3 linked regions of the Rhinolophus ferrumequinum genome follow. The protein of the gene in region 1 interacts with the protein of each later gene in a biochemical or structural test. Links are inferred from orthologs where the notes say so. Each region holds a gene or a part of one and is shown in the gene's direction. Other genes may lie near its edges. The genes, in order: MBP, TLK1 and PRKCZ.

Region 1 (8,050 bases):
TTTTGTGGGATGATTGATACCTTCAGTCAGTTGACTTTAAGGAGATTGCCCTTGATATTATGGGTGGAACTCATCCAGTTGGAAGGCTTCGGAGCCACTACTGAGGTTTATTGGAGAAAAAAGAATTCTTCCCCCAGACGGCAGCATCAGGTCCCGCCTGAGTCTCCAGCCCCACAATCATGTGACCCAGTTCCTTGAAATAAGTCTCCTTATGGATGACAGACTAGTAGAGAGATAAGATCTCTGCATCTCTGATTGGTTCTGCTTCTCTGGGAGCCCTGATGAATGCACCTTCCCACACCAGAACAGTACATCGTTTGTGTATCACCTCAGATAGTTTCTACAAGGATAAAAGCCCTGGAAATGTATTTTGATACGTTGTCTTTCTGAGGAGATTCTTTTTGGTGTTCAATCAGCGTTTTTGAGCTGCAATCCTAGTGTCTTGAACATATTGCCTGAGTGACTCATGTGGCCAGAGGAGCAGGCAGCTTCCAAATGGCCCTGTGTTCTTCCAGGACTAACTTTCCCATCTTATTCCTGTTATGAACGCTGTGTGATTTAACTGGAAAAGTTAGAACCATGCAGATGGAATTTACACGCGACAAAACAGCACAAAGCACCAGGTTCATCTTTGTGCTTTCCTGGCCTCCTGAGGCACAGGGAGTTTTCACTTCGCATTTCATCGCCTTTAATTACGCTTTTCTGCCAACTTGATTATTACATATTTGTCTCATTTCCTAGCTTAAATCATCGCGGTTACAGTCAGATGCAGCCCAGGAGCCCGAGGCTTGGCGCAGCCTCAGCAAGGAGTATGGAGGCGGGGGCGGGGGGGGGAGCTCTCTTTGTAAAATTTCTCCTGGGAGACAAACCAGCAGTCCACAGTTAATTTCTCATTATTTACTGGACTCACTTTACCCAGCCCGGCACCTGCCGTCTCCTCTTTCTGCCCAGGGTCAGGGTCAGCGGGTGGCCTGCAGTGTGAGCACAGATAAGGGGTGACTGGATCCTCTCCAGGAGCCGTCAAGCTGCGTCTCTTCTCACTACTGAAGCTGCATGCGCACCTCATCCTAACCTGAGAGACAGCATGTCGACAGCGGCACTGCCGGTGCCAAGGGCAGGCCACCCGTCCCCACCCCACGGCCCAGGCAGTCAGGCCTGTTTGTAAGATGGCATTGATGGACAGATAGGCATATATAGGTGCATACGGAGAGAGACTGATAGAGAGAGAGAGAGAGAGAGAGAGAGAGAGAGAGAGAGAGAGAGAGAGAGAAACAGATCAGAAAATATTTAGAAAGGCAGGGTTGAGCCAGCTAAACTCCCTAAGTGTTAAAAATGTAGCTTCTTCTAAACCAATGAGTGGCCTTGTCCCGTTGGCCTTGGATGTTGTATATGCTTGCAGCAGCTCTGCTCAGGGAAAGGAAAGAGGTGCTGTGAGTTCATTCTCCTCTTCCTCAGCTTCCTGCTGAACTTTCTCGTGACGTAAGAATGCGGCCCTTTTATTCTCAGTTGCTGGTTGTATTGGTTTTCTTCTACTTGCACCCAATGAATAATCTGGTCCAGGAGCGGGGTGTTACTATGAATGACTTCTAAATGTGGAATTGGCTGAGGTGAGGTGAAGACAGGGCAGTGATTGGCCATCCCTGACACTTTAAAGGTCAGCTTACGGCTAAATTGCTCGCTTGTATGTTGGCACGTGGGTGATGACAGCTGCAGGACTAGGGAACGGCAGGAAAACTCCAAACGTAGGAGAGGTTTAAGGACTGCAGGAAAGAGCCACGCTGACATCGGAGCTGGCCGCCTTCTGAGGGCCGAGGAGAAACCAGCCACGGCTGGGTGAACAGAAGACCATTTTCCCTACAACGTGAGATGCAGGGTGTCTGCCAGTCTGGCTCCTTCGGCTAGTTCGTCACATCAGACCTGAGTGCACAGGGTCTTAGGGAAATCCAGCACTGCTCATGCCTGGAGCAGCACACACTGCTTTTGTTTGTGCACAACGGCCCCTGTATGATGCCGCCGTACAGATGAAACCGCTGCTGATCCAGGCAAGCTGCACGCACTCACACCGAGTTGAACAGCCTGCGCCACATATCCTTGCCAAACGGAGAAGTGTGCTCTATTTTCCTGACCAAATGAACCTCTGCTTCTGGTTGCCATAGGAACAGGTCTATAGAAATGCTCCATCCCAGAGACAGTGATACAGACGTGCAGAGTCCCTGGCCTGGCTTCTTCCACGGCCTCCCATCAGATGCTTTAAGAGGTAGAACATTAAAAGCCAGGAAGAACACTCACTTCAGTAAAACCTACTGGGTTCCATTTATCTTGTGCAATTTAGCCAGGAGCTCCAACGACAGGATCATTTTCTCATAATTGGTGGTGGCAAGTATATCACAAAACACACTTGGAAGTAGCAGTGCTCCCTGAAGGCTAATGGGCTTTGCAAAGTGTCAACTACTCCTGCTCCCATTTCATGGGGACTGTTAAGCCATGAGGTCAGAGACTCCGACCGCCTGGTCCAAGAAGAGACTTGTGACTATGCAGCCGGGAGAGACGGACAGGAGGCGCACGGGTCCTCAGTTTGTAATTTGCGCTCTTACCTGCCACAGAACCGCGTGAGCGCTGTTACCTGAGCTTAACCATCAATGTCCCTTTGGTACCGTGTACCTCACTGTGCATCCAGTTCTTCTGCTCTGCTCCTTAGAAACGGCTCCCAAATGGGATAGGCTGTGAGCCCCACAAAACTCAGATGCCCCCTTGTGCTCATAAGCACCGAAGAAGGTGAAAGCAGGGAGTTAATCATAGACATTTCCCGTCCTTAAGCAGCACTTCCAAGTGTCACCTTGAAGACTAGGGTCCCTTCTCTCCAGAAGAGGCCAGTCACATTCAGATATGCCGTCCTTTCTGTCATCCTAAAAAATAACCACTTGTCCGCTAGTTGCCCCCGACCTCGGTTTCTTTTCTGCGTCTCCTCTGCCCGTCTTTCCATCTTCTTATGAGGACACCCATGACAGCGGGTCAGGGCCACCTTAACGACCTCATCTTAGCTTGAGGACATCTGCAGAGTCCTCATTGCCAAACGATGTCCCATTCACAGGGATCGGGTAGGAAGTGGATGTAGCTTTCTGGGGAGTTAATTCAACCCGCAACGGCGAGCCGTTCTCAGTAGAGGTGAAGCTTCTTCACCATTTCAGGTGAACTGCAGAAAGAGTAAGCTTGGTGGGAATTATTTGGATTAATTTACTTCCTTCCATTAGTTTGGGGAATTTGGAGTTTAATTCAACTGAACAAAAACTTCCTGAGTGTGTATCACACACAAAACCCTGAACTAGTTGCTGCAGTACGACATGCTGAAGGCTCCTGCCATCGTTTTCTGACGTGTGTGAGAGAGGGAGCCAAGTATAACACGATTTTCTTAGGAATGTCCAAGAGACAATGAGGTTTGGATCACTTATCCTTTACTTGTCAAAAGACCCGTCCAGCGTTATTCAGCAAAATGAAACCTGTATTTTGCTAAAGGGTGCGTGCGGAGCCGTCTTCATGTGACTGAGGGGTGACGCCCTGGGTCCTTTCCCAAGCCAGGCAGCAGGGCAAATCCCTCGCTAACACTGGACCTTCCACATGCCCTTCCGTTGCTCTTTTAAATAGTGTTCCTGACTCCCTCATATACAATTTCCTTGGAGTACCCGTGAATTTGGGGGGCATTAAATCCCCATGAAATAGGCATGTGGAATTTTATCAATACTCAAAAAGGAGTTGTAACTGATAAGCCTGACGTTTGCAGACAACTGCTGGCCTAAGTGGAATTTCTATAAACCCTTGAGAAACCGGCAGCACCACCAGCAGGAAGGACAACGGCTGCTCAGAAAGCCTCCCATCAGCACCCTCACTGACATCTGTGGGCCAGAAACCCAGTGTCCTCTGCACCCCACTCACCCCGGATTCCAGCACCCTGGCCTGAGCTTTAACAAGTGTGTGGGGGGGTGAGGGGGAGTAAGAGCGACTTGAGCAGCCTGGGGTAGAGTCACTGCCCACTGCGCCCTCAGCGTTTGTCTGGGTCCCTTCCTCCCACCGTAGTTTTCCTTTCCTGAAAGTCAGCATGAAAAGACAGGGCATACAGACTGGGGACACATCACTTTCCACTGCCCTCCTGACGTCTGCCTCAAACTCCAGGAACCCACGTCCTCATCTCTCCTGAGAAAGGATCAGATTAAATATTTATATGATCACGGATGTATTTCCCTTAGAATCACCAGCATTTGCATGCAGTTGATGGATTCCGGGGTCCTTGAGGATGGCTGGTTTGGGCAGGGTGCCCGGAAGCTGTCCCTGCACAGCTGGCCCTGGGGACAGGGCTCACTGAGTCTTGCAGGCACCAGACTGCCCCCTCCCCTAACAAACCCTGTGTGGGGCCAGGTCTCCTGGGAAGTGTCAGATTCCATCCCTGACCTGGAATCTGAGTCAGGAGGGTTTCCTGGCCTCCTGTGCCCTCCTACTTGGCTGTCCTCAGGAGGCCAAGGATCCAGGGAAAGGCTCCCAGACTCCACCAAATCTGTGTGTCCAGATGACTAATGTCCAAACAGCAGCACCTTCGGACCAAGAGATGACACCGACCACAAGCCAATAAATGCTGCAGAGCTGCAGGACCCAGGATCTGTCCCCAGCTCTGGGCACTTTCTAATGTTTCCTGGGTGCTCTCCATCTGCCTCTTTGATGGAACCCTGTGCTCTCCAGCCCAGCTCCTGTTGTTGGACTGGGGTCCCTGCAGAACTAATCTCTGGTTTTCCCCAAGGGCCAGGCTTTGTGGACGGCTGGCCAGTGGAGCACCGAAGACCCGGCACTGAACTGGCTGGATCCTCGGTCACCCCACCGTGAACTGCAGCGTGAGGAGATGCTGTCTCAGGTCCCTCGGGCCTCACCTAGTGGTTTCAAACACTGAGCAGGAGGATGGGTTCCAGGAGCAGCAGGTCAGCACGGCCGCACTCTGACCCCGCCCTCCGGGGCTGACAGGCGCGGGGTCCCCGCGGATCGCCGGCTCCGCGTGGCGAGGCCGTCCCCGAGGCTGTCCCCAGGGTCGTCCTGGCTCCGGCGGCGCCGGCGGGGGCGGCAGGTGGGACTCAGCAGTGTTTACCTGGCGGCAGGAAGCCTTGGAGGCGGGAAGGGGCGGGGTGCGCGCCCGGCCTCTAAGCAGCGCCGCCAGTCAGCGCGGCGCGCCAGCGAGAGCGAGCCTCCGGCCCTGGCGGCCCGCGTCTCCTACCCGGAAGGCGGCGCCGGCAGCCCGGGGACCCCGCGCAGCCCGCGCTTGGGGCCCGGGCGGCGGGCAGGTGAACTGGACCCCGCGGCGCCCTCAGCCTGGGAGCGGCGAGCGCAGTGCGGTGGGTGACCGTCGCCGGGGGCGGGCGGGCGGCGGCGCTTTGTCTCCGCGCGCTGGGAGCGGGGCGCGGGGACCCGGGAGGGACCCGGAGCGAAGGCTCGGAGCACAGGGCTGGGGAAGGCCCCGGGGTGGGGGGCTGTCCCGCGTCTCATCCAGGGACCTTCCGCCGCTCTCCCCCGCCAGCAGCGGCGCAGGTGCTGGGGCAGGTGGCAGCCCTGTGGTCTCCCTGAACGTGATGAGCGCAGGTGTAGACGAAGATCTGCGGCGGCTGGGCTGGAACCGACGGGTTTCGGGAGGTGGTCTCTGGCTGGAGCCACGGCCAGGGACGCCGAGGAGCGAGCAGTCTGGGGTGGCGGTGGGGGGGAATGTAGGGGTGGAAGGTGACCAAGGGCAAAGAGGTAGTTCTGGGTGGGGCGGGGACGGTGGTGGTGACAGCTGATGGCAGCCTGGGGGTTCCTACCAGCTTCAAGTGCCGCTTAATGCCGCACCTGGAGCCCAGCGGACCACCGCGGACTCCCCACCCCCAGACGAAGCCCAGTTTCCCTTTGAGCTCTGAGCTGGCGACACACGACTCGCCTGGCTTCCGCCTTCGCAGGGCCTGGCCCCGCTTGGCCCGCGCCGTCGCCTGTGTCCACCTGTAACCCATCTGTGCCCACCTGCGCCTACCTGCCCTCGGGCGCCTGCGCGGGCCCGTCTTGGGCGCGACTCTCATGGACACCTGGGCCCGGCTCTCCTGGTGTGGGGGTCCCCGGGAATAGTGTGTGTTCTTCATCCATTCCCTGGCGCCCAGGTGGCTCTAAGGCTCGTGGGATGCTGGTGGAGGCGCCTGGTTTCTGTTAAACAGGGTCTACTGAGCCCCTGTTTCGGAAGGCGGAGTGGGGTTTGTTAAAACCGCGAAGTTTGTTTGGGGATTTCAGTGAGACAAGGGCAGGAAATGGGCGCGTTCAGGTTCCTGGTTCTGTTTGGCAGTTACTACGAAGTGAGAATCAACACCATGTGTTCAGTTGGTCTCTGCATCCGCGGAAGGCACTGGCTTAGCTGGGGGTGTTGGGAGGGTGTAAACACAGTGTGGGGGCGCTGTTCTGGCAGCCCACACCCACGCGGCTGGAAAGCTGGCTGGAAAGCGTGTTTCAGACCAGGGAACTTTAGGGGGCCGCCTATTTAAGACCTGTGGTTTTCGGAGATTATAGCCTGCCAAGCTCAGGAAGACATTTTACAGCCGGGGACCACCCTGGGTCTAAGCCAGGTCAGTCCTGTCCCATAGGCCCCCAGGCAGGCTCCCTGTGAGTGATGGGGCCTCCTCAGACACTGAGACCCCAGGTGTTCAGAGCTAGGAGAGCTGGGGACAGCATGGCTTTTCCAGCAATGATGGACGAGATGACGTGAGAGAAGCCAGCAGCCTGAGAGCCATATTTCTACCCGCCAAGAAAAACTCCTCATCAGTAGTTTTAGTTTTTCAAGTGGGATAAACAGAAACCTGAAAGGAAAGAGTCCAGTTAAAAACTATTGTAAAATATTGGTTAACAGTAACTCCCAAGGATTTAACTGTTCCGAAACGACATTCAAATGGACTTTGAACATCTTTCTAAAGTATCGCATTTCTGCGCAAAGATAAGAGAGTTTGACATAAGTGACTTGTTCTGTGACGTGGCGATGAATTGCTGTCATGGTTTTGAATGCGATGGCAGTGAACTGAGAGAGAGCAGACCAATCTTCCTTGTGATTTTCCTGTTTCCGCCTGAAGTTTTAAATATAACTGAAGTTTATCATGTTTGAATTTTAGTTTGGATTGTTTAAAAATTGGACACAATGTGAGCAGCTGCCTCTGTGCCTTTCTTTCCTACCCAGGTATCCAGGGAGTGTTTACTGACCCCTTACAAATTGCCAGGCTGTGTTCGGAGGGCTCCGTGTCACCTCATCAACAGTCATGACTACCCTCATTTGATATGACGACCCTATTATACCGTCGTTTTTCCTGGCAGAGAAACCAAGGCACAGAGACACCACGGGGGCGCACAGGACTCGGCTCCCAGGGTCGGCCACCAGCCCCGAGTGGCTGTCTTGCGTGGCCTGGGTAAATAGGACACCTTGCAGACCTACCATCCTTTCATCCTTTTTAAAAATTCCACCCGGAATGAGTGGCCACACCCCCGAAAACCATGCTTCCTCTTAACAATGATTTGACTATAATGGTGCTATCATGTGTCTTTGTTAGTCATCCTCTCCTTTACTTCCTTAGCTGTCAATAAAGGAGAAAAGGAAGTATTCTGACTAGTTAGTATAATTTTTAGTAAGTAATCATAAAGGACACATCTACTGGTCCGGTGGAGCCCCCAAAGGAAGGTGAGCCGGCCTGATTTGGGCGCTCCTGAGTGGCTATTAACACAGCTGTAGGTGTCCTGGGAGACCCCGTGCTTCCAAAGGTAGCCAATGAGCGATGAGCCGCTGGGCTTTTCTCCCGATCCGCACCTGAGTGCAGAGCCGGGCTGTAACCAGAGAAGCAGAATCCGTGGGAGCTGCACACCAGAGATGGAGCGTGAGGGGCTGGGGCTAGGGAGGCAAGTGGATCCGCAGCACAGAGACCAGCAGGGAGGCTACACCTCGCAGGCGTGAGTGGAGGCAGTCTCCCTCACCTTGCGACCAGGTAACTGACAACGCCTATTCGGAAGCTGTTAGGAATGC
Region 2 (7,422 bases), on another chromosome or scaffold:
AAATATATATTTGGCACCAACTGCATGCCATGCAACTGCTAGATGTTGGGAATATATGTAATAGACAGACAGATAAGGTCCTTGCCCTCCCTAAGATTTTAGCCAAGGTGGGGAAACAAATGACAGTAAGGCAATGATCTATATACTGTGGGAACAGTGGTGTGCTGGTGAGGAAGCCCTTATTTGTAGTTTTTGCTGACTTTGGAGTTGTAAATACTCTTACCATAGCCAATTTCAAGCTACAGATGTGACATCATTGAACTCTGAGTTATGAGAGATGTACATAATCTGCCCCTGCCCCCTGCCCCCAAGTCCTCAGAAAGGACACCATCCAGTCTCTGGGCTCATTTCTGATTGGTTTGGGGGAAAGGGGCTTGGGCATTATTTCATCAAATTAAGAAAGAATCAAATGTTAAGAGCTATAAAATGCATTTATTATTATCTATAATATTGGATGTTTTGTAAGTACTTTTACTATGGTATACAAATAGAAAAGAGTTTAATAAACATAGCTGTAAATTAGGATCAGTCTACAGAACAGGGCCCAGATTCTCCCTTTTGTATATGAACTTCTCTCAGGAGACCCTTGAAGACCTCTTCTGCATTGCACCCTCACCTTTATCCCAGCTTATTGTTCCTCATCATTCATTCATTCCACATTGACAGAGCCCTTGGTCTCCGCCACACACCGTACTAGGGGCTTAAATCCCTGTCCTCATGGAACACTCAATTCACAGAAAGAACATTCTCCCATCTCTTCCTAATGCTTTTTTTTTTTTTTAATTTTTATTGGGGAATATTGAGGAACAGTGTGTTTTTCCATGGACCCATCAGCATCATGTCAAGTCATTGTTTTTAATCTAGTTACGGGGGGCGGGGCGCAGCTCACTGGCCCATGTGGGAATTGAACCCGCGACCTTGGTGTTATTAGGACTGCACTCTAACCACTGAACCAACCGTCCACCCTCTTTCCAATTCTTTCTAGTTGGATTTACTGCACTCTCCTATCGTTTACTCAGTTCACTCCTGTGTTTTCATGCTGGCTTCCCCCCGGGAACATTTCCCCAAGAAAGCTTGCCACAAACCCCTTTCTAATCATCTTCTCTTCCTTTTCTTGAGATTTCTCCTCCCTCATAGAGTGGCAGTTGTTCCTTTTTTCTCCGAATCGGGACTCTCCTGATTTTTGGTAACTTTTCCTATTGTGCAAGCTATCCCCCTCGCCATCTGCTCTACCTATGAAACGTTTTTTGAATGCGTATGTACTAACCATGTGCAAGGTGTGGGGGAACCTCTACTTACCACTTAAACGTTTTCATTAATCACAATCATTTTATAAAATTATGTATTTACACATTTGTATTCAGGCCCTTTTTAAACTTGTTACTTAATACATGATTCACAAAGTTTGAAAAAGCATAAAGGGGGAAAAGAGTAATGATGTAATTTCACAACCCTAGGCTAGTCATTATTAACTTTTTTGGGTGGATCCTTTTAGTCATTTGTTATGTATACTTACAAACAAATTGGGATCATACCCACTTTTTCACTTATTATTGTATGAAAATTTTATCATCTTTTTTCAGTGTTCTTTGAAGACATGATTTTAAATGATGTCATGACATTCCATTTTCAGCCTAAGCCACAGTTTATTTAATTAGTTCCCTGTTGCTGGCAGTAGCCTCTTTATAAGTCAGTGTTGACTATCTTCATCTTAAGCTACAAGAAAGCAGGAATCAGTCATTTAAATGTCCTTCCTTGGCAGCACTCATAACAAAAACATAGCTAAAGTAATTGAATTAAGTATATGCTGTGATCCTCTAGTTACCACTTAAAATAAAAGGCGTTTGTCTGCATAGTGTTACCCAGGTTGGTATAAAGGTAACGAGAAGCTCTGGAGAGAGTTGGGAGAAAGATAACCTCAATCTTTTTGGTTGGGTTTTTTCTCTTGAGAGGAGTGGAGCTCTGTATAAAGTCTTGGAATTGGTTAAGAGCTTTAGAAATCACCTAGTGATTCTAACCTCTTTTTCAAAGATGATGAGATTGAATCAAGGATTGTTACCTGCTGAGACTAAAACCCAGGTCTCTTGACTTTCCTTCTGTCTTATGCTTTTTACACAATGAGCTAAGCTCTTTTAAAATACAGAAAAAGCATACATTTACATAATTTACCTACATGTTGTTATAGGACTTGTTTCCTCATTCTAGTGTGCGCATACTTTGGTATATAAATCTAATGGTAAGGCCCTAGATATGTATCCATGAGAAAGGAAAGCATGTAATAAGCCAAAAAGTGGAAACAACACAAATATTCAACAGGTAAATGGATAAAGTGTGGTATATTCATATAGACTGGAATACTCAGCAATCAAAAGAAATGAACTATTGATAAATATAGCAATGTAGATGAATCTCAAAATGTTTATGTTGAGTAAAAGAAGCCAGACAAAAGAGTACAAACTGTATGATTCTATTTATCTAAAATTCTGGAAAAATGAAACTAATCTAAGTGACAGAAAGCAGACCTGTGGTTACTTGGGGGTCAGGGTGGAGTGGAAGAACCACCTCAAAGGGGTAAAGGAAACTTTGGAGGCTGATGGATACACTCACTATCTTGATTGTAGAAATGGTTTCAGGAGTACATATATGTCAAAATTTATCAAATTGTACATTTAAAATATGTGCAATTTATTGTATGTCAATTATATCTCACTGAAGTGAAATCTACCTATTAAGTTTGAAAAGCAGAACAAGACTAGAAACTCACTGAAGAATCTGAAGCACAAGAAAACTAAAATTATTTCTGGAGATAACTGACAACCAAGTTTCTAGTCTAATATGAGTTTATCTGAACAAAACATTACTGTGAGAAATGCAAAGTCATAAAAATAAAAAATAGAAATGACATTTTTGTCCCCCTGGTAATCATGCCATTTCCTCATGTCTGTACAGTTGCCCTATATCATCTTTTTAGTGTTCAATTTGGTTTTTTAGAGAGCAATAACCTTGTATTTTTCCTTATTAGACGGTTCTTTTATATACAAGACGTCCAATCACTGATGTGTCTGTACGTGTGTGGCTGTGTAGAAAACTACACTGCATCTATAAATTGTAGCAAATACTGTATTTTCCTTTGGAATTTTGTAGTCGGGACTCAGCAGCGGCACTGCAAAGAAGCTGGAACTTTCTGGAAACCATACCCTCTTCTACAAGATGAGCGCTGCATAGTTTCCCTAAATATGTGAAATCAGTAAGCAAAGTTGTCTGTTTAGATTTTCCACTTAGTTTCAAAATAAAGAATTGCTATACCACACATACGGTGCACAACACCATCGAATATTCTTTTTTAAGGAAACATTCATAAAGTTTTATTTCCACACTCCACTCCCGACGTATTTTCTTAGCTTTTATTCTGTAATCACTCCCATTCTACAGACTGGGAGACGCACACAGGTTTTTTTTTTTGCATAGTACAGATGGCTAGGAAAGAAGCAACTCTCAACTTTTCAGTTCCATTTTGAGAAATGATCGCATCGAACTCGTGAGAAACGACAGCGCAGCGAGCAGCAGCAATTCTCCCCAGGCTGGGTGTGGGTCAGGAGCCAGGCGCGCGCTTCCGCGGGAGACGGGGAGTCAGGTGGCAGCGGAGCAGGAGCCGGAGCGGCGCGGCCGGGGCGCGTCTCCCTCTGGCCGGCGCGGGAGGCCACTCCCGCGCACGCGAGTCCGCCGGCCCGAAGCTCCCGCGCCGCGATCCGCGGGTGCGCCAGGGGCGCCCGCGTCACCTCCCTCGCCACCCCCCGCCCCCAACCCCTGGCAGGTCCCTCCCCCATGCCTGCTCCCGCGGCCGCCGCCGCCGCCGCCGCTACCGGAGGCGCAGGAGCCTCGCGATAGTGTTTGCACAGGCGGCGCGTGACGCCGCCGCCGCCGCCTGTAACTGATGCAGAGGTTACCCCGCTGCCTCAGCCGCCACCCACCGCCCGCCGCCGCCGCCACCCGGGCGACGCCGGGGGCCGACGCACTGCAGAGGTGCCGGCAGGTTCCGCCCGCGGAAGTCTCCTCGGCCGGCGCAGCCCGCGCTCCGCCCGCGCTCCGACCCCGGCACCGGCGGACGCCCCCTCGACGCCTCAGCCACCTCTCTCCTTCCCTCCGCCTCTTCCCCGGCGCGCCAGCCTGCTCCCTCGCTTCTCCCCCCTCTCCTCCTCCCCGTCCCCTCTCCTCCCCTCACCTCTTCCCTCCCCACCTCCCCCCTTCTCGGCTTCCTCCCCCATCCCCTTGACTCTCCCCTCCCTGCCCTCGCTCTCTTGCTCGCCCTCAGCGCGGCCCCCGCCATGACGGAGGCGGGTGCCGGTGCCGTTGCCGCCGCTGCCGTCGCAGGGGGGGAGTTGGGTTCCCAGAAAGTAGCTTGATGAGTGTCCAAAGTAGCAGTGGAAGTTTGGAGGGGCCGCCATCTTGGTCCCAGCTCTCCACGTCTCCAACCCCGGGCTCGGCGGCGGCGGCCAGGTCCCTGCTGAATCACACGCCGCCATCCGGGAGGCCCAGGGAAGGTAAGCGCCGTCGCGCCAGCGCCCGCTCGCGGGCCTCCCCTCGCGCGCTGGGGAACCCGCGACCCCTAGGTCTCCTCCCCGCGACCCCGGGGTGGGGGATGGTGGTGAGGTAGACGCGAGGCCGCCCGTCTGCGGGGAGGTAGTGCGCTGGCTGTGGGTGGTGGTTCGCGGGTGACGGAGGACACGGGAGATGGGGTGCGCGCTGGAGGGGACGGGGCGAGGCGAGGGCACAGACTCGCCTGGGGTTCTTAGGAGCCAGTCCTGCTAGGGTGGAAAAACTCCCCCCGGCCGCGAGCCCCTTTCTGCTCCATTTGCTAGTACACTCAGTACTCTTAACCTCCTGGCCTCCGGTCTCTGGTGGGTTTTCCCTCCCGTTGAAGCATTCATCCTCGAGCCCCCTCCCCTTCCCTCGCGTACTCCTCCCATAGAGGCGGTCCCTGCTCTGCGAGCTGTGCTGCCCGGGACCTGAAGGATGCCCCCCGTTTGAAGGGTCTCTGCCCTTCGGGGAGAGCCGCTAAAATGATCAAAACCGACTTTGATCCCTTGCTTGGCCCCCTAGAGCAATTTAACGGATAGACTGACTCGTGTGCAGGCTTTTTAAACCACCTCTTCAGATGGTGGCAACTTTCCTTCGGCATCACCTCCTGTGTGTTTGTGCATTATCTCTACTGCAAGTAGGCTACTGTTCTCTGACAGGATCGTGGGTTTTGTGGGAAATACCCGCTTAAAGGTTTACTGCAAACACGCACCAGATCGGTTACAATTGTTTTCTAAGTTTTCTGCTTTCTTGCATGTAAGTGTGCTGCCACCAGATGTAGCAGTTACACAGCTAGTAAGACACTAGAGTGCTTTTCCCTAAAATTTCAACTTGCTGTATGTGTTTAACTTTAAGTATACCACATAAAATGATATTTCGGAGAACACACATTTGGGGAAGAATAAATGTGCGTGGAATCGCGTTTAACGCTCTTTTGTCTGGAACACGTTGAGCGGTATTCATCAGCATTTGGGCTCACTCCCAGTTGTGTCACACGAGATTGTAGCCACCTTCTCAAAAAAAAAAAAAGACGTCTGGTAGTCCTATAGTCTAGTAAATCATTTAAAGAAACCAGGAGCTTTGATTTATGTAGGAATCTGTGGGATTAATTTATTTTGAAAATATCTGTCAATTTTTACTACTAGAGCCTTGACAATTGTTAATCAAGTGTTTTGTGCCCTCAATCCACTGGTTCCGGCATAGCATTCTTTGTCATTTTGTTCCTGTGAGCATGTGTGAAAGTGACAATAGGCTCAAAGATTGGCATGAATTTGCTCTAGAAAATTCATGGAAAGGTTTGATTTATGGCATCCATTAAACATGCTAAATACATTGACAGACATTTTCCCCTTTCCATCTCACCCGACACTGAGTTCTGATTATTAGAAGATAAAAGTTTTATTTATTGATTAACTCAAATTTAGCACATTTGGTGATGTTTTTTGCACTGGAAAATTTGTAAATGAATGTTTTAAAATTTATTTTGTAAATAGAGCAGTTGGCGCTTTCAGCATGTTTTTACTTTTGTCTGTAGTTTCATTAAGGTGCTTAATGATAGTGTTATGAATGATAATGTAATGAGTGATAGTAAGAGATGGTTTTGGGAAAGACTCCTGGTTTTTAAGGCTGTACCTTTCTTTCATTCATTCATTCATCCATCCATCCATCCATCCATCCATTCATTTATTATTTTTTTTCAAATGCATTTATTGAGCCATTTCTGTGAGACAGATGCCATGCTACACACTGAGGATGTAGTATTTAGTTGTTCATCTGTAACATCTAATCCGTATTAGTAATTTGGGGGCTGCAAAACTTAGATTGTAAGTTTTGGAGTTTACTTCAACTTTAGTTTAAAAAACTTCTATTTTGCACTTTTCCTGATGTTTGAAATTTTTGAGGGGTTGGAATAATTTAGCTTGAACTTCCAAATAACCAGAATTTTTCCAGCAGTTTAGATTATAATCGATTTTTATGAAACCTAAACTAGTGAGTCTCTCTGTTAATTAATGAAATAACAGTACATGCTTTTGTGAAAGTAATTCTTCACCCCAAGTACCTGTAAGGCCATAGTCTTTTTGACCAACTATCATGTAAGTTAAAATTACGTTAATTGTCCCTAGGGTTATATATTCATCTTGAAGCTATAGTCTCAGATTTCACTAATAGCCCCAGGTATCAAGATGGAGACATTTTCTTTTGAGTGGGATCTCAGTTTTTATTTTAACTAGTGTTTAGCATATTTTCCAGGTATACATTTAGTATGTTATATAAATTGATGTTAATTGAGAGAGCTTTCGACTTCTGGTGACTGCTAGTAAGAACTATTAATATAAATGGAACTTGACTGTATGTATCAAGAAAGAGAACAAACCTTGTTCCTTGAAAAATTGGGCCAATTTCCTATATAATAGGAAATTTTAAATTTAAAAGAGACACGTGTATGTTTCCACATATAATGGTTATATGTGATGAACTTTTAAGAAAACTTAACTTTGAAAATGGGCTGTTTTTAAAGATGTGCTGTAAGTATCTGAAAAAATTAATTATTTTGAAGTTTTGATATATTTGAAACTGAAAATCTAAGATTATAAGCTAATTATTTTTAATGCTCCATATTTTGACTTTCTTCCTTTCCCATCCTATTCTCATCATATGAATATAATTTTGGCTTAATTACAAATAAAATACAGTTAAATATTATAAGATTTAGGAATTTATTAGAATTTAGGGATTTGTATTATATAGCAATGACGACTATTTATCTTGGGAGTCCCAAAACTTTTTCTTTATCAGTCTTGAATTTCTCTGAGAGTTTCTCACAATGTAGCTATAGATTTCATG
Region 3 (7,118 bases), on another chromosome or scaffold:
TCCCGCGACTTGTGACAAAGAAAGGAAACTTCTGCTGCCCATTCTGGGCTCTTCCTGTGACCTGCTGGGTCCTCGTGGTCCCCGCCGGGTCAGTCTCACACCTGCCAGGATGACCAGTGGACCCCCCTACCCCCAGGTGACAAGAGGGCACAGGGAGTGCTGGTGGCTTCCACAGGCGTGTCCCCTGCCCGGCTGGGTCTGTCCAGGGAGGAGGCGTGTCAGGACTGGAGGGTTTCTCCTCGGCCCACATCCTTCCGTGATGTGGGATTTTACAAGAAGCCCGTGCCACTTTTACAATCACTTAACAAAAACACATCTTTGAATTTTCATTTGGAAATAAGAGGTGTTGGTGATTATGAAAGTATATGAGGTCTTTGTGGAAAATCTGGGCAAACAGAAACTGCCCAGAGGTGAAAAGGACCCTCCCTCAGCCACTGGGGCCCTCCTGGGTCTGTCTGGGGTCTTGCGCTCAGGTCCAAGGGTCACCTTCCTTCTCCGCCCACATGGGTTGTCCTTGCACCCGCCTTTAAGCTGCTGATTGCAGAAGGGGAGAGGTGTAACTCTGCCCAGTGACCCCCAGAACAGGGCCCGTGGTCCTAGGAGGCCGGCCTTGTCCCAGCACTTCCAAGGGGTCTTCACCTATTCGTTCATTCATTCATTCATCCATTCATTCATTCCACTGTGTGCCAGATGCTCAGAGACATGGGGACACAATAGTGACCCCGGCTGACTGGCTCCCAACCCCCATCACTTCTGGAGGGGCAAGTGGTCTGAAAATTGGGGAACAGACACCCTCCCTGGTCACCAGAGTACAGAGCAGGTGGCAGACACAGTGACAGCACTGGGTGCCCAGGACATCACAACCTCACTCTACCCTTGAGGCCTTAACAGGGGTGGCTCAGCGCCGGTGGCCACCAGGAAACCCCCGAGGTCACCCGCCCCCAACCTTTGGAGGTGGTCTGAGGGCCTGGGCAGGTGGGGGCCTTTGTTTTGCAGAGCTAGTTGGTGGGCAGAATGCAAAAGTCCTGGCCTCCACCTGCTCTCAGGGGACCTTTTCTGGGCACCGCAGGCTACCCTCACTCCGGCCTGGGGCTCGATGTGGTCCCAGAGCCAGGCGTGGAACCTCCCCCCCAGGATGGCCTCCTGAGATAGGCACCTCCATTCCCCAAGCCCGCGGAGAACAAAGCCCTCCCACCCCAGCTCTCTTCCGAACTTCCCCTGCCAGGATTGGGGACTGCAGTGACCCAGGTACCAGCCTCCAGGAGGGAGGCTCCCACATGGCAGCTGAGGCGAGACCAGTGCCCAGGGGACACTGGATGTCAGTGGCTCCAACCCCAACAAGGCTGTCCCGGTTAGAAAGGGCTCTGGGGTTGTACTTGGGCTGTTGTGTCCACTGGGGCCTTGGCTAGGGCATATCCGAGAAATGGTGTCCCGTGGAACGGCCACCCACCAGCCCGTCCTGCCTGCTGTGGGCATCAAGCTCTGGACTCCTTCCCTGTTGGGCCACGCTTTGAGGCAGAAAATCAGAACACCCGGGGATGCTGTGGGATGTCAGATGGCCTGTGCCCATGAAGTGCAACCCGTCAGGAGTGCCCAAGGCTGTGGGGACAAGACTGCAGGCCTCGCATGGGGGTGGGGTTGGGAGGGCTGCACCCCACACATTTGCCTCCTGGGCTGCCGCTCCCATGGCAGATTCCTGCTCATCCCTCACAGGGTAAACACTCGTACCTGGTTCCCCTTCACGTCCAACTGAAAGTCATGGAGCTCTGTGCCCAGGCGGAGGGATGCAGCGGTCACCCCACAGGGGGGAGGCGGGCAAGCGGACTGATACAGGCATCAGGAATGGTCAGTAGAGACTCAAAGGAAGTGTGGGTTTTGGAGAAGTAGCTCCTGGGAGAGGGAAGAGTGGTGAAAAGGCCCCGAGGTGAGCAAGAGGCAGGAATGTGGCCAGGTGGCCAGGTGGGCTGAGCCAGTATGAGGATGGTGAGAGATGAGGGCAGAAGGAAATGGGACCCCAGTCCCTGCAGAACCTGGGGTTTTTGCCTGTGATCCATGGGGGATCATTGGGGATTTTGAACACCAGGTGGACACAGACTGACGCATGTTTTAAGGAAACTGGAAGCTTCTGCAAAAATCCCAGTGCTGAGGGTGGAGTGGGAGGTGGCCGTGGAGGTGGCAGGACGTGGCTGGAGTCTGGACCTATGTTGAGGGTGGAGGGGCCCGGATTTGCAGCTGGAGGGGAGTGGGGTGTCAGAGGCAAAGGGAACTCCAAGGTTTTTGAGTTGAGCACCTGGAAAGGAGGGGTTGGCATGACAATGAAGGAGGTGAAGGGCATGGTGGAGGGAGGTCTGCTAGGATGAGAGGTTCAGGGGAGCGGGCTGAACTTGGGATGGCATTTGGAGCCAAGGAGGAGGGGTGGGGGAGAGAGCATCCTAGGGTGAGTTCCCAGGGGATCATCAAGGGTCAATTAAGAAAAAGTCTGAGGAGTGACACAGGAGTCCCGGTGGAGGAGGGGCTCAGCGAAAGTGGCAGGAGAAAGTGGGGATACGGACTGCAGATGGCTCCTTCCTGACAGGAATTTTGTAGTAAAGAGCAGAGAAATGAGCAGGTGGGTGGCAGGGTGTGGGGTGCAGAGGGTTTCTCTAAGAAGGGAGAATTCACAGCACCTTAAGTAGGTGAGAGATGGGCCGTCAAAGGGCTTCTCTGTGGCCATCTCTAGGAAGAACGTGAGCTCTATGACCACTTGGTTCCCCAAGGGTCCCCCCAACGCCTGGCACCCAGGAGGCGCCAGGAAGCATCTGTGGAATGAGAGAGGGTGGGAAGCCCTTAGGATTGTCCAGGTGAGGAGTGGTGAAGGCTTAGCAGAGACTGCGTCAGAGGTTGCCAGCTGGGTGGAATGTGGAAGGGGGGGGAGGCGGCCGGAGAGTAGCCAATGGAAGGACCGGTTTGGCAGGGGTGGCAGGGATGGGGGCTGCAGACCTATGAGCCTGGGATGCCCACCTGGCGCCCAGGTGAGGTCCTGCTAACAGCACACGTGGGTCTCTGTGGACGCAACGAGTAAGGGGTGGGTTCCTCAAGGAAACCCAACCCCACATTTAAGGGCGGGGGGGCTAGGCTGCAGGCCCTTAGAGAAGGCGTGAGCCGTGGATAGTGTTCAAATGCAACCGTCCAGATCAAACGCCAAGGTGGACGTTGTGGATTCAGAAATGAAGGTCATGGGCGACCCCGGCAAACGCAGTCTCCTCGTCCCAGGAGCAGAGGGAGCCGGCTAGCGAGTGTAGACAAGCCTCCCCTGCAAGGGGATCTTGGATTCCACGGTGGAGGAGGGCGGCTGGGGCCCGGACAACCATCGGGGCCTGGCCCCTCTCAGCCGTGGTCTTGGCCGGGGTCTCAAGACCTCGGTCTCCGCATCAGTAAACTGTCCGGACGCGGGGCACTGGGGATTCGGGGTCGGAGCTGCTGACCCACACTTGTCCTCCCCGGAGGCGGACCTCTCTCTGGCCGCCCCCCGCCCACGTCACCAGCGACCCCCTCCTCTCTGTACCCCAGACCAGCGCTTGCCCTGGAATCACCCGGGTCTTGTTAGTATAGATGGCTGGAGTTTCGATTCAGCGAATCTAGACCCGAAAGTTGGCATTTCCAAGTTCCCGGGGCGTTGCAGCACGGAGACCCCACGTAGGAATCGCGGGCACCGGAGCCCACTGCACCGAGGGGAACGCGCAGGGCGGCTGCTGTCGGAGTCCCCGGCCGCCGGAGCCGCCGGGGGTTGCCGGGCAGAGCCGGGCCGCGCGCGCTCCCATTGGCCGCAGGTGGACCGCGCCCCGCCCGACAGGTAGTGTCCCCGCGCCGCGCCATTGGGCCGCGGCCGCGGGGTCCCCCGGGGATTGGCCCAGGTGGCGGCCCCGCCTCGCCCTTATTGGCCGCAGGTGCCACCGCCCCCGCCCCGGGACCGTCCGCCCCACCGATTGGCCGCCGGCTGGGTCGGCCATGTTCGGACTTCCCCCCCGCGGGGCCTGACGCCGTACTCCGCGGGAGCGCGCCCCCGCCGGCCGCGCCCCCTCCCCGCCTCGCGCGCCGCCGAAGTTCTGCGGAGTTGGCGGGGCCAGTGCTTCCCGACCCCGCGCCGAGCGCTCCCTTCCGCGTTCCGCCGCCGGCCCCACCTGACGCCGGGCCCCTGGGGGCCCCGTGCCATGGCCCGAGCGTCCTGGGCGCGGCGCTGACGGCGGCCGGCGGAGCGCGCCATGCCCAGCAGGACTGGCCCCAAGATGGACGGGAGCTGCGGCCGCGTCCGGCTGAAGGCGCACTACAACGGGTGAGCCCTGGCGCCCGACAACCGCCCTGCGGGGCGGGCGCGGGAGCAACCCGCCCCGCGCAGGTCGTCGGGGGCCGTGTCGCCGCTGCAGCGGGCGGCCGACAGCCGGGGGCTCCCGGTCGCGGCGCGGGAGGGAAGGAACGGCGAGGCCCCTCCGGGCCCAGGGGCGTCCCGGGAGGTCCTGACGCGCCAGCGCCAAGGGGCGGCCGGGACGAGGTTTTCCTGGGCTCGGACTTGCGGGGGGGACTCCGCGGCGCGGGCGCGGGAGCCGGAGGCAGGCGTCGCCGAGCGCTCCACGGTCCTGGGCAGTGTTGACATTTTCCCTGGAAAGTTGGCTAGGATACTAAGGCCACAAACCTGTAAGGATTCAAGTTTTTGTCAAATTGTGAAAACTGCTGGCAGACTTTTAAAAATCGGGGTTTCCTAAATTTTCTCAATTTCCGCGGCCAGAGATCTCAGTTTAAGGAAAGTTTATGACCTATGCGAAGGCCAGGCGGTTAGTCGCCGGTGTTTGCACGAATGCCGGGCGCCTGGAAGGGCTCGGCGCGGTTCGGTTGAGACCACACCTTTCGGACACTGACCAGCCCTGCATCCGCGCACGGCGCCTTGGACTCTACCTGCCTCGCTGTGAAATGGGGCGAGTCGGCGCCTCACAGGGGTCAGTGGCCGGGAGCGCTGGACACTTGGCCGCCGAGCAGCCCTGGTGGGGACAGAGCGGGTGGCGTCCAGAGGCCGGGAGCCCGCCGCCACCCCTTGCGCGGTGTAGACAGCGCTCTAGGAAGAACTAGGCTCTTTGCTGCTGCCTTCCACCGGTGTTGGTCTCCAGGAGTCCCCAAGTCGGACCTTGCTGCTCCCAGGGTCACCACTGCCCGGTGGGGGTGGGCAGAGCGGAGCGCCGACCCCACGGGTGAACTTGGCGGTTGCAGCTGTAGTAGCATGGAGTGGGGTCTGCCCCGTGGGCACAGCGCTATGGGCACCGCCCTATGGCACCGCCCAGCGAGTCCTCAGGCTGAGCAGGGGCTTTGGGTTGTTGACCTGAGCGTTTCTTGTTTCTGATCTCGGGTCAGGCCTTTCCTGTCCCCTCGGTGCCCCTCAGCCTGGTGGAACGGTGCTGGGGGGTTGGTGGCAGAGCCCCAGGGCAGAAGGATTTCTGGGGGCCGTGCTTGCAGGCCTTTGTGAAGAGGCCCTGAGTTCTATCTTTTGGCCAGGAAGGGTGGGCTGCGATTAAAGCTGGTGGGGTGTCAGCTAGGCCCTGGCTCTGTACCCGTCCACAGGTTTGAGCTTATCCACCGGCTTGCCCGGGGTAAACTGTGGATCCACTGTGGAGCATTTGAATTGAGCAACCGGCCTTTGTGAAAATCAGAGATGGTGCTCGATGAGAAGATGCCCGCACCCAGAGCGGCCTGGGGGTGGGGTGGGAAGCAGACCCTACAGCCTTCCCCCAGGACAAGTTCCAGGAGGCACCTGTAGGCCTTGAGCTGTGGCGTGGGGGCCACAGTGGAGGCAGGTCCTGGGGAAAGTTCAGCAGACCTGGGGGAGTTCTGGGGAAGCCGCCCCGCCCACCACGTCCGCTCCCCTGGCTTTGGCCCCGGGAGAGCGATTTGGTTACCAGGAGTAATGTGACCTGTTGAGCCTGGTTTCCTCAGGCACAGGAGGCCACGCCCCACCGCTTTCCTCTTCGTTCCATTCCAGCCTCTGCTCCTTCCTCCCCTTCACCCATCCCGTCCCATCCCTCACCTCTCCCCCCTTCCCTTCCCTTCCCTCTTCCCCTCCTCCTCCTCCCGCTGCTCCAACACTCCTCTCCCTCCCGCACCCCTCTTTTCTGCCAGCTGTGCCCTCCCTAGGTTCCTTTGCAGGCCCGGCTCCTCACTTCCTCCCAGGCCTGCTTTTCCTAATGGGCTCCTGCACGGGGGCGTCACCCAGGGAGCTGGAGACGCCGCTGTCTGAGTTGGGAGACCTAGTCCTCAGAGCTCCACAGTGATGCAGGTTCCAGAAAGTGCCCGCCAAGGCCCGGGCTCTCGCACAGACCCCCCAGGTCCAGGTGAAATCCCGCCTCTGGATGAGATGCTGCTGGTCCCTCTGGGTAGGGGGTTGTTTGGGGGCAGCCCGGCCAGGGGCCAGACACATTGAAGCCGCCATTTTTAAAAAGCGGGGGAGGCTCTTCAGCTGCCCCTCTGGTCACCCTTCGCATCCCCTGAGACCTCCCAAGGCTTGAGATCAGGGTCTCCCTCCCCTCTCGCGGGGCCTTTAGAGGGTGTGTGGTCACCGGAGTCTGAGTGGGGTCTGGCAGCACCTGTGTTTTCCATGGAGTTTTCAGGGGGTTTCCGGTTGATGCTTGGGGCGTTTGGAGACCCTATTCTGCCGGGCTAAACCTCACATGGCCACTTTTCTAAGGTCAGAGAGATGACTGTGCTGGGTCTGCCCTCCCTCCAGCTCAGAACGCGAATTGTCCAGGACCTGCGCCGTGCGAAGCCCAGGCAGGGGCTGTGCTCTGTGGCCTGACACACCTGGGGTCCAGGGAGGGGCCGTTCCGGGCGGTTGGGTGCTCTCTCCTGGTCGCCGGCCCAGGGCTCTGGCTTGCTCAGAGGGGCTGCTGGATTCAGGATTGGGGTGAATCAGGGGTGGGGGTCAGGGGCCTGGTGGGGGTCAGGGGCCTGGTGCCTGTTGGGGGTGGGGCCCTCCCCGTGGTGCTGCAGTCCTGCCCAGGAGGGGAGGCGCCCAGTGGCTGCGAGAGGCTGTGATGTGTGAAGACGAGCCCAGCGCTCCGTGGTCCAGCCCGATGTCAGGCACTTCCCAAGGGTTGGGG

What was found.
Region 2: the proteins of MBP (region 1) and TLK1 form a complex in vitro, tested with the Homo sapiens proteins (2 studies listed by BioGRID, with this or other methods). The link is inferred for Rhinolophus ferrumequinum from reciprocal best matches to the Homo sapiens genes MBP and TLK1.
Region 3: of the proteins of MBP (region 1) and PRKCZ, one has a biochemical effect on the other in vitro, tested with the Homo sapiens proteins (2 studies listed by BioGRID). The link is inferred for Rhinolophus ferrumequinum from reciprocal best matches to the Homo sapiens genes MBP and PRKCZ.

Annotation. Positions count from the first base shown.
Region 1 is NC_046302.1:58,915,782-58,923,831, reverse strand, and holds the start of MBP (myelin basic protein), read left to right. Parts: upstream 1-4,972; 5' UTR 4,973-5,104; intron 5,105-5,110; exon of another isoform or gene 5,111-5,369; intron 5,370-8,050. UniProt on the Homo sapiens protein: The classic group of MBP isoforms (isoform 4-isoform 14) are with PLP the most abundant protein components of the myelin membrane in the CNS. They have a role in both its formation and stabilization.
Region 2 is NC_046291.1:53,177,451-53,184,872, forward strand, and holds the start of TLK1 (serine/threonine-protein kinase tousled-like 1), read left to right. Parts: upstream 1-4,402; coding exon 4,403-4,541; intron 4,542-7,422. UniProt on the Homo sapiens protein: Rapidly and transiently inhibited by phosphorylation following the generation of DNA double-stranded breaks during S-phase. This is cell cycle checkpoint and ATM-pathway dependent and appears to regulate processes involved in chromatin assembly.
Region 3 is NC_046292.1:901,869-908,986, forward strand, and holds the start of PRKCZ (protein kinase C zeta type), read left to right. Parts: upstream 1-4,029; 5' UTR 4,030-4,241; coding exon 4,242-4,312; intron 4,313-7,118. UniProt on the Homo sapiens protein: Calcium- and diacylglycerol-independent serine/threonine-protein kinase that functions in phosphatidylinositol 3-kinase (PI3K) pathway and mitogen-activated protein (MAP) kinase cascade, and is involved in NF-kappa-B activation, mitogenic signaling, cell proliferation, cell polarity, inflammatory response and maintenance of long-term potentiation (LTP).